Arabidopsis thaliana: one gene and its partner. The protein of the gene in region 1 interacts with the protein of each later gene in a pairwise test. Each region holds a gene or a part of one and is shown on either strand. Other genes may lie near its edges. The genes, in order: AT4G23950 and AT5G44920.

The links.
Region 2: the proteins of AT4G23950 (region 1) and AT5G44920 interact in a protein complementation assay, tested with the Arabidopsis thaliana proteins (one study listed by BioGRID).

What each region holds. Positions count from the first base shown.
Region 1 is NC_003075.7:12,439,871-12,445,052, reverse strand, and holds AT4G23950 (Galactose-binding protein), read right to left. Parts: upstream 3,007-5,182; 5' UTR 2,757-3,006; coding exon 2,546-2,756; intron 2,401-2,545; coding exon 1,250-2,400; intron 1,176-1,249; coding exon 1,087-1,175; intron 961-1,086; coding exon 723-960; 3' UTR 506-722; downstream 1-505. Other genes in the region: AT4G23960 (F-box family protein), read right to left, coding at 145-288; FtsHi1 (FtsH extracellular protease family), read right to left, coding at 3,212-3,409, 3,481-3,730, 3,819-3,931, 4,024-4,382, 4,520-4,634, 4,808-5,003, 5,121-5,173. UniProt on the Arabidopsis thaliana protein: Encodes a member of the mid-SUN subfamily of SUN-domain proteins. It is involved in early seed development and nuclear morphology. [TAIR].
Region 2 is NC_003076.8:18,136,514-18,140,690, reverse strand, and holds AT5G44920 (Toll-Interleukin-Resistance (TIR) domain family protein), read right to left. Parts: upstream 1,917-4,177; 5' UTR 1,727-1,916; coding exon 1,224-1,726; intron 962-1,223; coding exon 697-961; 3' UTR 501-696; downstream 1-500. Other genes in the region: ARAD2 (Exostosin family protein), read left to right, coding at 1-65; AT5G44910 (Toll-Interleukin-Resistance (TIR) domain family protein), read right to left, coding at 2,456-2,711, 2,868-3,337. UniProt on the Arabidopsis thaliana protein: Could play a role in nuclear morphology, specifically nuclear size.

The DNA of each region.
Region 1 (5,182 bases):
ACCAGTCTTAAGGCAATATCAATGAATTCTAAGAAACCTGAGAGTGCAAGAATAAATCTCATTTCTTCAAACCCTAAGAAGCACATTATTCCATAAAGCTACAACAACAACAAGACAGAATGGTTAAAGAGAGTCCAAAATTACTTGGAAATAAAGGGCTCTCCAGAGGACATCGTCATTCGCTGTCTTTCTCATGGAGGAACTCGTCATTGATAACTGGCAGAGACTTGAGTAATCTAAGTATCTGAGCGCGTAGCATGTAACCTCCGGAAACAATTGCTCGATCATCGACATTCCCGCCGCGTTATCATTACCGAACTTCGACACCACCATTTCCTAAACCCTTTTTTTGGTGGAGTCGAGAATAGTGAGAAAGAGGGCAAAGGATCAAGGGGATTGTTTTGTTTTGTGGTTCCTTAAAATTTAACCCTAAAAAACAAAACCGTTGTCTCTCTTGGAAATTGGGAAGAAATTCGTTTAATTCAGTTTCGGTTCGGTTTAGTTATTTTTGGTTTTCAATTTATTTGGTTTTCTAAGCACCGGGCAGATTACATTTACACCTATGGAAGTTGGAACATCAAACACTAAAGAAAATCAGTTGTCACTGATAGTTTGGGTCCAATATTATCAATGAAAGTTCTTTCTACTCCTAATCCTAGGGTTACAAACTTTAATAGCAAGGCACTGTTATAAAAAAAAAAACCTAAGCCTAACTCTGCTATCTAAGAGAGTAAATGAATGAAAATCATGATGCTGCTGCTTAGCAGTATCATGACCCAGCCACTATCCGGCCATAGTGATCGAGCTTTATCCGTAATAGACATCCCCAGAAATGCCCAGAGTCGTGTTGAGACTAACCGAATCGTTGCTAAGACCACGAAAAAGAGGCTTATCAATAGAACTCCCAGCTCTTTACTCTCTAGATTAGCTTGTTCTTTCACAATCTTCTCTACATCCAATCTGATATCAAGAAACAAGAAGAAATATGGGGTCAACTAAGAATACGTTTCAAGTCATGGGATAGCTCTCCGCTTGAGATTTCAAATCCTCTGTTTTCTCTATTTAGGAATAAAAAAGAGTACTGACCTCAATGCAGAGTTTCCTCTAGCCAATGATTCTACACGGGAAGCTACAAGAGTTTTCCATAGCTCTAGGTCTCTAAGTTCCTTTTCCTGCTCAAAGAATATCAAATTCATTGGTAGTTTCTTCAACGGACAAAGACTTAATCATAAGAAATTATTGAATTTACCATTTTCCCTTTCCATTCTGTGATCTCTCTGATGTCAGCTTTGCTTTTCTCCACAAGTACTAGGGTTTTCTTCATCTCCAAGCTAACCTCTGGTTGTTTGTCATTCATTTTCTTTACAGAATCCTCAAGAAGCGATAAATTCATCTCAATCAATTTCACTTTCTGCATCATCACTTTCAAAACGTTATGCTTCTCCTTGACTTCATACTTTTTGTCTCCTATGATATTAATCGTCTTCACAACATCATCTTTCTTCTTCTGAGCTTCAGTTTCTTTGCCAATCTGATCTGTCCTATTGCTTTTTATTTCCCCATCTTGTTTTTCATCTGCAGTTTTTAGTTCCACCATAGCTGGTTTACTGGGAGGAGTCTCTGATGGAACAAACAGATCTTCAAGCATTTGCTCAAGAGCATCAATGCCAAATACCTCCACAACACTCAGAGTACAGTAAAACTCAGACCCATAGTGACTAACTAAATTAAGTTTCAGATATCTCAACCATTTAGGTTCCGGGAGCCGGAATGACTGGATCTGCTTAACGTTTGCAGCCGCAAAACTCCCAGCAGGTGTCCACATATCACTAGGGAAACTCAGACTCCCTGACAAGCTAAACTCTTTGGGATTCGAAGAGTAATGCTCAAAATTTGCAATTCTCACCGTATCAACCAGTGTCTCCTCGGCGAGCTCAATCACAACATACTTATCTGACACTGAACAGGGATTTCTTAGATACTTATCATGATCTTTGCCAAGCACATTGCTAGCTCCTTTTGCTTCCTTGTTGTGATCCACAACTTTAGCACCCTTCATAGCAGAAGCGTAGTTATACCCATTTCCATCTGGTTCTAACCTATAACGAGTCCCATTATTCACAAGCTGTGATGAGCCATTAACTTTGAGACTCTTGTCTTCAAGATTGACATATCTAGGATCACGAGCTTCCAGAGTTTTCTTGCTTATTCTTCGTTCTGGCAACACAACTTTGCAGATCAACAAAGCGTTGTTCACAAGAACATGCTCATACACATCTTGTAACTGGCCTTTTCTCAGGAGACAAAAGTTGTTTTCTTTCTCAGTGGCCTGAGGGAAGACAGAACTCGTGGAATTCAGTGTCTTTGAGACTGATCCATCAGTGTAATTCCCAATTCTATCTACAAAATAAATTGATTTCTTCAGAGGAACACAATATAGCAATCTCTGGAATATACCCCCCAAGTTAAAAGACCCTAAATTTGTTTCCTTAATTAACATTTGAAATGATAACGGAATCTCTCTCAAACAAGGAAGAACACTTACCTGCATTACCATAATCATCATGGCTTTGGCCAAGCTTGGAGTAGACGAGGAAGAGGAAGCACCAGAGTAAGAGAACGAGAGAGATAGAACGCTCGAAGAAGCTGCCGCTTCTGGAATTAAAATTATCAGCCTTGTCGGAGATTCTGACAATTCGAAACCTTTGCAATTTTTCATTCAGGCATATCGTCGAACAGCTTCCGCGCCTCGCCATATCTATAAAGCAGAGAAGAGATCTATACTCGTGTGTGACATGCACAGATGGAGAGAGTCAAGAGAGATCGTTGGTTGTATGACTATGACCTGTATCTGTAGAAACCGAGAAGAGGGCACGAGGAACAAGAGCAAAAGAAGACGGATGAAGAAGAAGAAAAAAGGTAAGAAAGAGAGTGCATGACTCGTGTTGTTGCTGTCTTGTGTGGTTTGAAACAAAGAACCAAACTTTTTGTCCGTCGATTTCCTCGGAATTAAAACTTTTTTTGTTTCTAAATTTATACTTAAGTTTGTCTAATCTATTGTTAGCAAATCAAAGAAGTGTCTTTGACCCAAGTTTTTTTCTTTATTTCTGTAAATTTAACTGTCCGAAACTTCAGAGATTGAGTCGAAGTTACAATGACGGACAATGAATAAACCTAAGCTTAGTGATTTGATGTCTCTGGGACGCCGGAATCATACTTGAGCATTGACGTCGGTAGAGTGATTAACAAGGACAAAGTCGCCGGATTCACGCCGGAGATGTTCAGGGACAAAAGGAAGACTTCCCGGATTTTGCTCTTGTAAGAGAGAATTTAACGGAGTCTGAGGAGGGTAATGGTCAAGTATGAAGTCTATTGCTTCTCCACTTATCTCTTTCTGGTTCAATAGAACCTACACATGGGAAAATAAAAGTATGAACAAATCAAACGAAAACGCAATTGCGGTTAAATGTTTGAAATTACCTTAACGGTTTTGAGGAGAGCGGTTTGGTTTTGCCTGAGGAGAGAAACTGTTTTGTTATACATCTGGCTAATGAGTTCTTCGCTTCTATGTGCGACTTCATCATCCATGTTGAAGTTAACTGGCGGCTCGACGAGGTCATAGTCGTCATAGAGAGATCCTTCAAAGTCTAAGCGTGGTCCCACGAACTGAGGTCTCTTTCTCCATGGTGGTGGTTCGCCATGTATCACCATTGGGTTCTCCAGGTTCCATCTGAAATCCAAATATATATAAGTCTTGAGTAAGAAGAAGCTTTTACTTTAAAGGGGAATGTGAAAATATGCAAAATTGGGCCTCTCACATGGTTAAGATTTTACGAGCTAGCCATGAGGCGTCAGAGAGATAATCGACTGATGCCTTTGAAGTATCTGAACCGTAGATCACTTCTTCTGCAGCTCTTCCTCCGAGCAAGACCTGAAATAGAAATTTTAGAAGTATAATAAACTCGTAACATCGAATATTAGAGAAATGAGTGAAGAGTTTTTTTAATAGAGAAAAAGAAGCACCTGAAGACGATGAAGCAGTTGTGGAAGACGACCAAACATGTAGGACTCATCATCAAGCCGATGAAACACAACTTGAGACAGTGTCTGACCACGAGGAATGATAGAAACGCGATCGCACCGCTCAATCTTTGCATTCTCATACCGCAATAAAAGATGTGAAGTGATTGCCACTCCGACTTCAGTTGTGGCTCTACGACACTGACCTTGATGTCCCAATTCTAAACCAATACGTGTCGGACCAACAGTGAGTCGGTCCACAGCGTCGTCCATGTCTGATTGAAGAATCGAGTTATGCGTTTTCCTGACAGCTACAAGAGCAGCCTCTTGAACCAACTGTGCCAGTTTTGCTCCGGACCATCCTGTAATTGATATAAACAATTACTTTAATCAAAGTTTTATACAGGCCAATACGTTCAAACACATAAGTTGTCTATGGGAAAAGGTACACCATGAGCATAACAAATATTCTTTGCAACATCAATTGTAGATTTTATACCTGGTAAGTTACTTGCATAAGATGATAAGTCAACAGAATCCGACATCTTGACTTTGCTGGCATGAATCTTCAGAATATCCAATCTCCCTTTCGCATTAGGGGGACGGACTCTTATCTGATAAGAAGATTATTTTTAACGGTCTATCCGGTACTCTTAAGTCTACAAAATTAATGCAAGATAAATTCAAATGGCTTGCGATTGTCGTTTGGTTGTTTATTAATTCGAATAACTGCTATCAAAAATTTGAGAACAGAAGATTTAGTGTCTAGATTTTGTTAATCACAAACCTTTCGATCAAATCGACCTGGACGTAGAAGAGCAGGGTCTAACAAATCTCTGCGATTGGTGGCACCCAAGAAAATCACACCTTTGCCTGTGTCAAAACCATCAAGCTCGATGAGTAGCTGGTTCAATGTGGTTTCTCTTTCTTGTGTGGCCGCATTGTACAACTGGTCTGAGTTTTCCTTGAAAATCCCTTGACGTCTAACGAATACCAAAATATAAAGAGCGATATCAGTTAAACTCCGTCTCAAGTTGAAAAATTATGCAAGGAAGGTAGTATATCAAAATCTAGATACAAGGGACGAAAATATTGTATACCGAGTTGCTAAGGCATCAATTTCATCGATGAAAATAACGGATGGCTTGTTTACCTGCACAAG
Region 2 (4,177 bases), on another chromosome or scaffold:
ATGGAAGTGACCCTCAATGTTCTTGTTTATGCTCAAACCAAACCGGGATCATCCATGGTGTCTAGTAAGGTTAAATGCCTAGCAAGCTCATGCTAAGCAACAAAATGTGATCATTATTAATGATGAATCAAAGACTGGAAAGGTAAAGAAATGTGATCATTTAGTCCTTATAAATTATAACTAGAACCATTCTTTGTTCTTCGTTTTTTCCCAAATACATGACTCAGTACGCCTTTCTAAGCCTTTTCTTTTTATATAGGAACAACAAGAGAAACCACATCACTCTCTAATTCCGGGTCAAGGGTTTGATCAAGAATGCGCGTTTCCTGGTGGGTTTTGACTTTGGGAGTGTTAAATATCAAGAGAGATTCAAGCAAAGAGAGGTACATTTTATCTTTTAATTTGCTAATACTCAAAGACCACCACACAAGTGATGAAATCAACCATTTACATTATTAGCTAACCAATGGAGAAGCAAAAGACTTTTAGGGCAATGAGAATTTCTAGTCATAGAGCCTACACAGAGAACAGAAACAGAGTAATACAAAGCACAAGTTTGTTCTTTAAAATAGTAACTGACAATTACAACACAATTATTAACAAAGAGACACACAAATGTACAAAGCAACCAAATGATCTTTAACACCCCATTTAAACAACACACAAACAAACAGCATAAAGTTGCACAAAAGCCACTTATGAAGGAGGTGGTGCTTTGTTCTGGTTATTTTTGTACCAAAACCACGACGCAAGAACAACTGCCAGAGTACCTATGAACCATTCAGGAGTCTGGAAAAACTTCTGATCAGGGAGATACTTAGGGGCAATGAAGAAACTAAAGATCAAGTTGATGGTTATAGCCAAGAAAGCAACTCCTATAGCTGACCAACTGTTGTCAGTTGGTATGTTTAGCTGTTTCTTAACCTCCTTAACAATATCCAAAACAAAATCGGTATCGTGTCTGCAAAAAAAAAAATTATAACATGAGTTAGAGAAAGAAGAAGATGATGCAAGTAGGTTTTTACTTTTTTTTGGTTATATCAATAATACAAGAATCATCAAGAAAACTCGAGCGGTCAAGTTTCGGCATATATCGCTCGGTCAAGTGGGTTGGTGCCTTGGTGGATTTGCGGAAAACTCCTTACCAAAGAGATCTACTAATCAAAGATCAGTCGGGCATAGATCCAAACATAATCAAGAATACATGTATTTTGAAGTATTACTTGTACTTTGAGTTTGACCGGGAAAACCCTATTCTTTTTGTCACAGATCTCAGGGCACGCTCCCAACCCTCGACCCTCTCAGGCTCCCCTGCATGGTTTTGCTTCAGTTGCTTAAAAGGAAGGGAAAACTCTCCATCAAGATTGCCTTCTCCATCGGGATTGGCTGCTCTTTTTACATCGTCCGATCTTACGTTATAGAAGATTGGAATCACCACGAGTTTCTTTTCCTTCATCTGTTCATTCATCGTCACAAGCTCATCCAAACACCACTTTGACTCACAGTACCTCTTGGAGAAGATAGCAAGCGCGATTTTTGACTTCTTGATCCTTGTGAAGAGATATTGTAGTCTTCTCCCTTTCTGCTCTTTAGTGTCTATGAAGACGTTGATCCCTGCGTTTCTTAATTGCAGCTCTAGATGGTTGACAAAGATTTCGCGCAGCTCATCTCCTCGGAAGTTGATAAACACCTGATCAGAAAGAGGTTCTTGGACCTGCTCATCCATTGGAATGGTGTCTAGGTTCGTCTGAATAAAAAATAGTGAATATAGTTGGTGAGAGACTTTGTTGTCTCACTTTGTCCTTTAAAATACATTACAGAGAAACGATTCTTTAATTCTTCAGACCAATCAGTGGCTCGATGCCAAGTCTGCGCCTATCCTCAGTCTTTCTTTAATATTATACAACATTATTGTCTCAATGGATCCAAATACTCTAAATCCTGGGTCATGGGTCGGGTAAATAATGTTTTTGAAGACAAACTATAAAGAGTGAAACAACTAAACAGAGATGTAATCTATAGCCAAACAGTGCAAAACTGTTAAGTTTCCAATATCGATACCTCCGATTCCTTAACCAAACCAGTACACACTAACACACCATACACGAGAGAGACTAGCACATCACTAGGTCAGCTCTCAGTACACCATATGAGAGAGACTAGCACATCACTAGCTCAACTCTCAAGTCTCTCATGCAAGACTCACACAATTCAACAACAATCAACAATAAGCATAGATTCTCTAAATCGATATCTCTCCTTATTTATACTCCCAAGCCTGCAACCGCAAACCCTTTGTCATGCCCAGAGACTTTGCTTTCCTTCCCAGCTCATCACACAGTCAACACACACAGTCAACGGTGTTGACTGCCTCTGCTTCTTTCTTTTCTTTACTTGCTTCTCCAATCGTATCAAAAGCCATTTGACCACAAGTTGGTGATTAATCAAGAGGTCATCATCTGTTTGGTTGGGTCCGTAGACAGTAAAGCTGGTGCAAGATACCAGCCAAAACTGGAAACCCTAGTAAACACTTAACAGCTTTATTAACTTTCACATCAGTGCATAGTAAACGAGCTACAATGAGACTACAGATAAAAACCGCAGCTGAAGCCAAAACAAACACTTGTCCTTTAGTAATATTTTGTCTTTCAGAGTCCATTAGCTCGCTCTTAACCGCCGTGACGATTGCCCTCACAAGACCTAAACCCGTTCTGCAAACATATGTCAGGAAGAAACCGTTAAATGAGCTCAAATAAGTAGTCTTCCTAAGAACAAATTAACAAGAATTGACTAAAAAAAAAATTCATAGAAAATTCAAAACAGTTTGTGTTTTCACTACTTATAAATTTCATCAAAAGAATAATTACCCGTGGTCTTCGGAGGTTAAGCCGGTCCGCTCTACTATTGAACTCAATGAATCCTCCCACTTCAAGATCTTGAGTGGATCGTTTGCGTATTTCTCCCTCAGTTCCTCGAAATGATTACCGAATTCATCCTCGAGGTTCTTTACACCGCTTATGCTCACATCATAGAAGACAGGTATCACCTTAAGGTTGCTTTGTTCTACGTGCTCGTACATCTTTTGAAGCTCGTTCAAGCACATCTCTGACTCTGTATACCTCTTGGAGAAGATGACGACCGCGATATTCGACTCCTCGATCTTTGTGGAAATATTTCGTATGTCTCTCCTATTTGCTTCTGCTCTGTCTACGAAAACGTTGACTCTCTCGTCTCTCAATCCCCACACAAGATATTTGATGAAATTGTCGCGCGATTCGTTTCCATAGAAACTAATGAATACTTGAGGAGGACGTTGGTACGGTGGTGGTTCTGCCATGGGAGGGTTGAGAGTTGAGACTTTCTTGCTTTAATTTTTCTTCATGAATATATGGAGAAGAAGAAGCTGGAAAAGTAAAAGATTCATTTCTTGTTTTGGACCAATTCATTTCAAAAGTCAAAGCATTTATTTCTTTTTTAGGAAAAATTCATTTCAAAAGTCAACTCTTGGCAACTGTCTTCTTTATTATTTTTTATGGAAAAATTGGAAATATAGGACAAATATTTAGATATTTGTTCATCTATATTCAATGAACAAATGTAAACTATCCTTAAACTATTCTTGTATTAGATATTTAGATTTAACTACTTTTTTTTCAAAAAAAGGTCATAATAATTCATAAGAAATTGTTGAGTGTCCCTAAAAACACGAGATGTCTAATGAAGTCATCAAGCAGCTCGGTAGTCGTGGTCGTGCTGGATCCATTATTGAGCTTTGGTCAAGCACGACCACGACTACCGAGCTGCTTGATGACTTCATTAGACATCTCGTGTTTTTAGGGACACTCAACAACTTCATATGAATTATTCTGACCTTTTTTTGAGCTTTGGTCAAGCGAAGAGACTATGTGTTTCTTTGGGTTTTAACTGTTTGGAATAGAGAAGCGGAGACTTTGGGAACTTTTTGCACAAGAAAAATAAAGCAAAAGAGTGAAAAGTGGTTACTTTGAAAGAAACATTTATCTTTAGATTTGTATTTTTTCTTCTATTTCAAGATCATAACCAAATAAAACATGTGGAAGTCTCATTGATCTAGTAGTTGACCAAAAGTCTTAGGTGGTAGGTTATAAAGGAGATAGTGTTATTAATCGTAATCACTTTTATCAATAATTGATGCAAG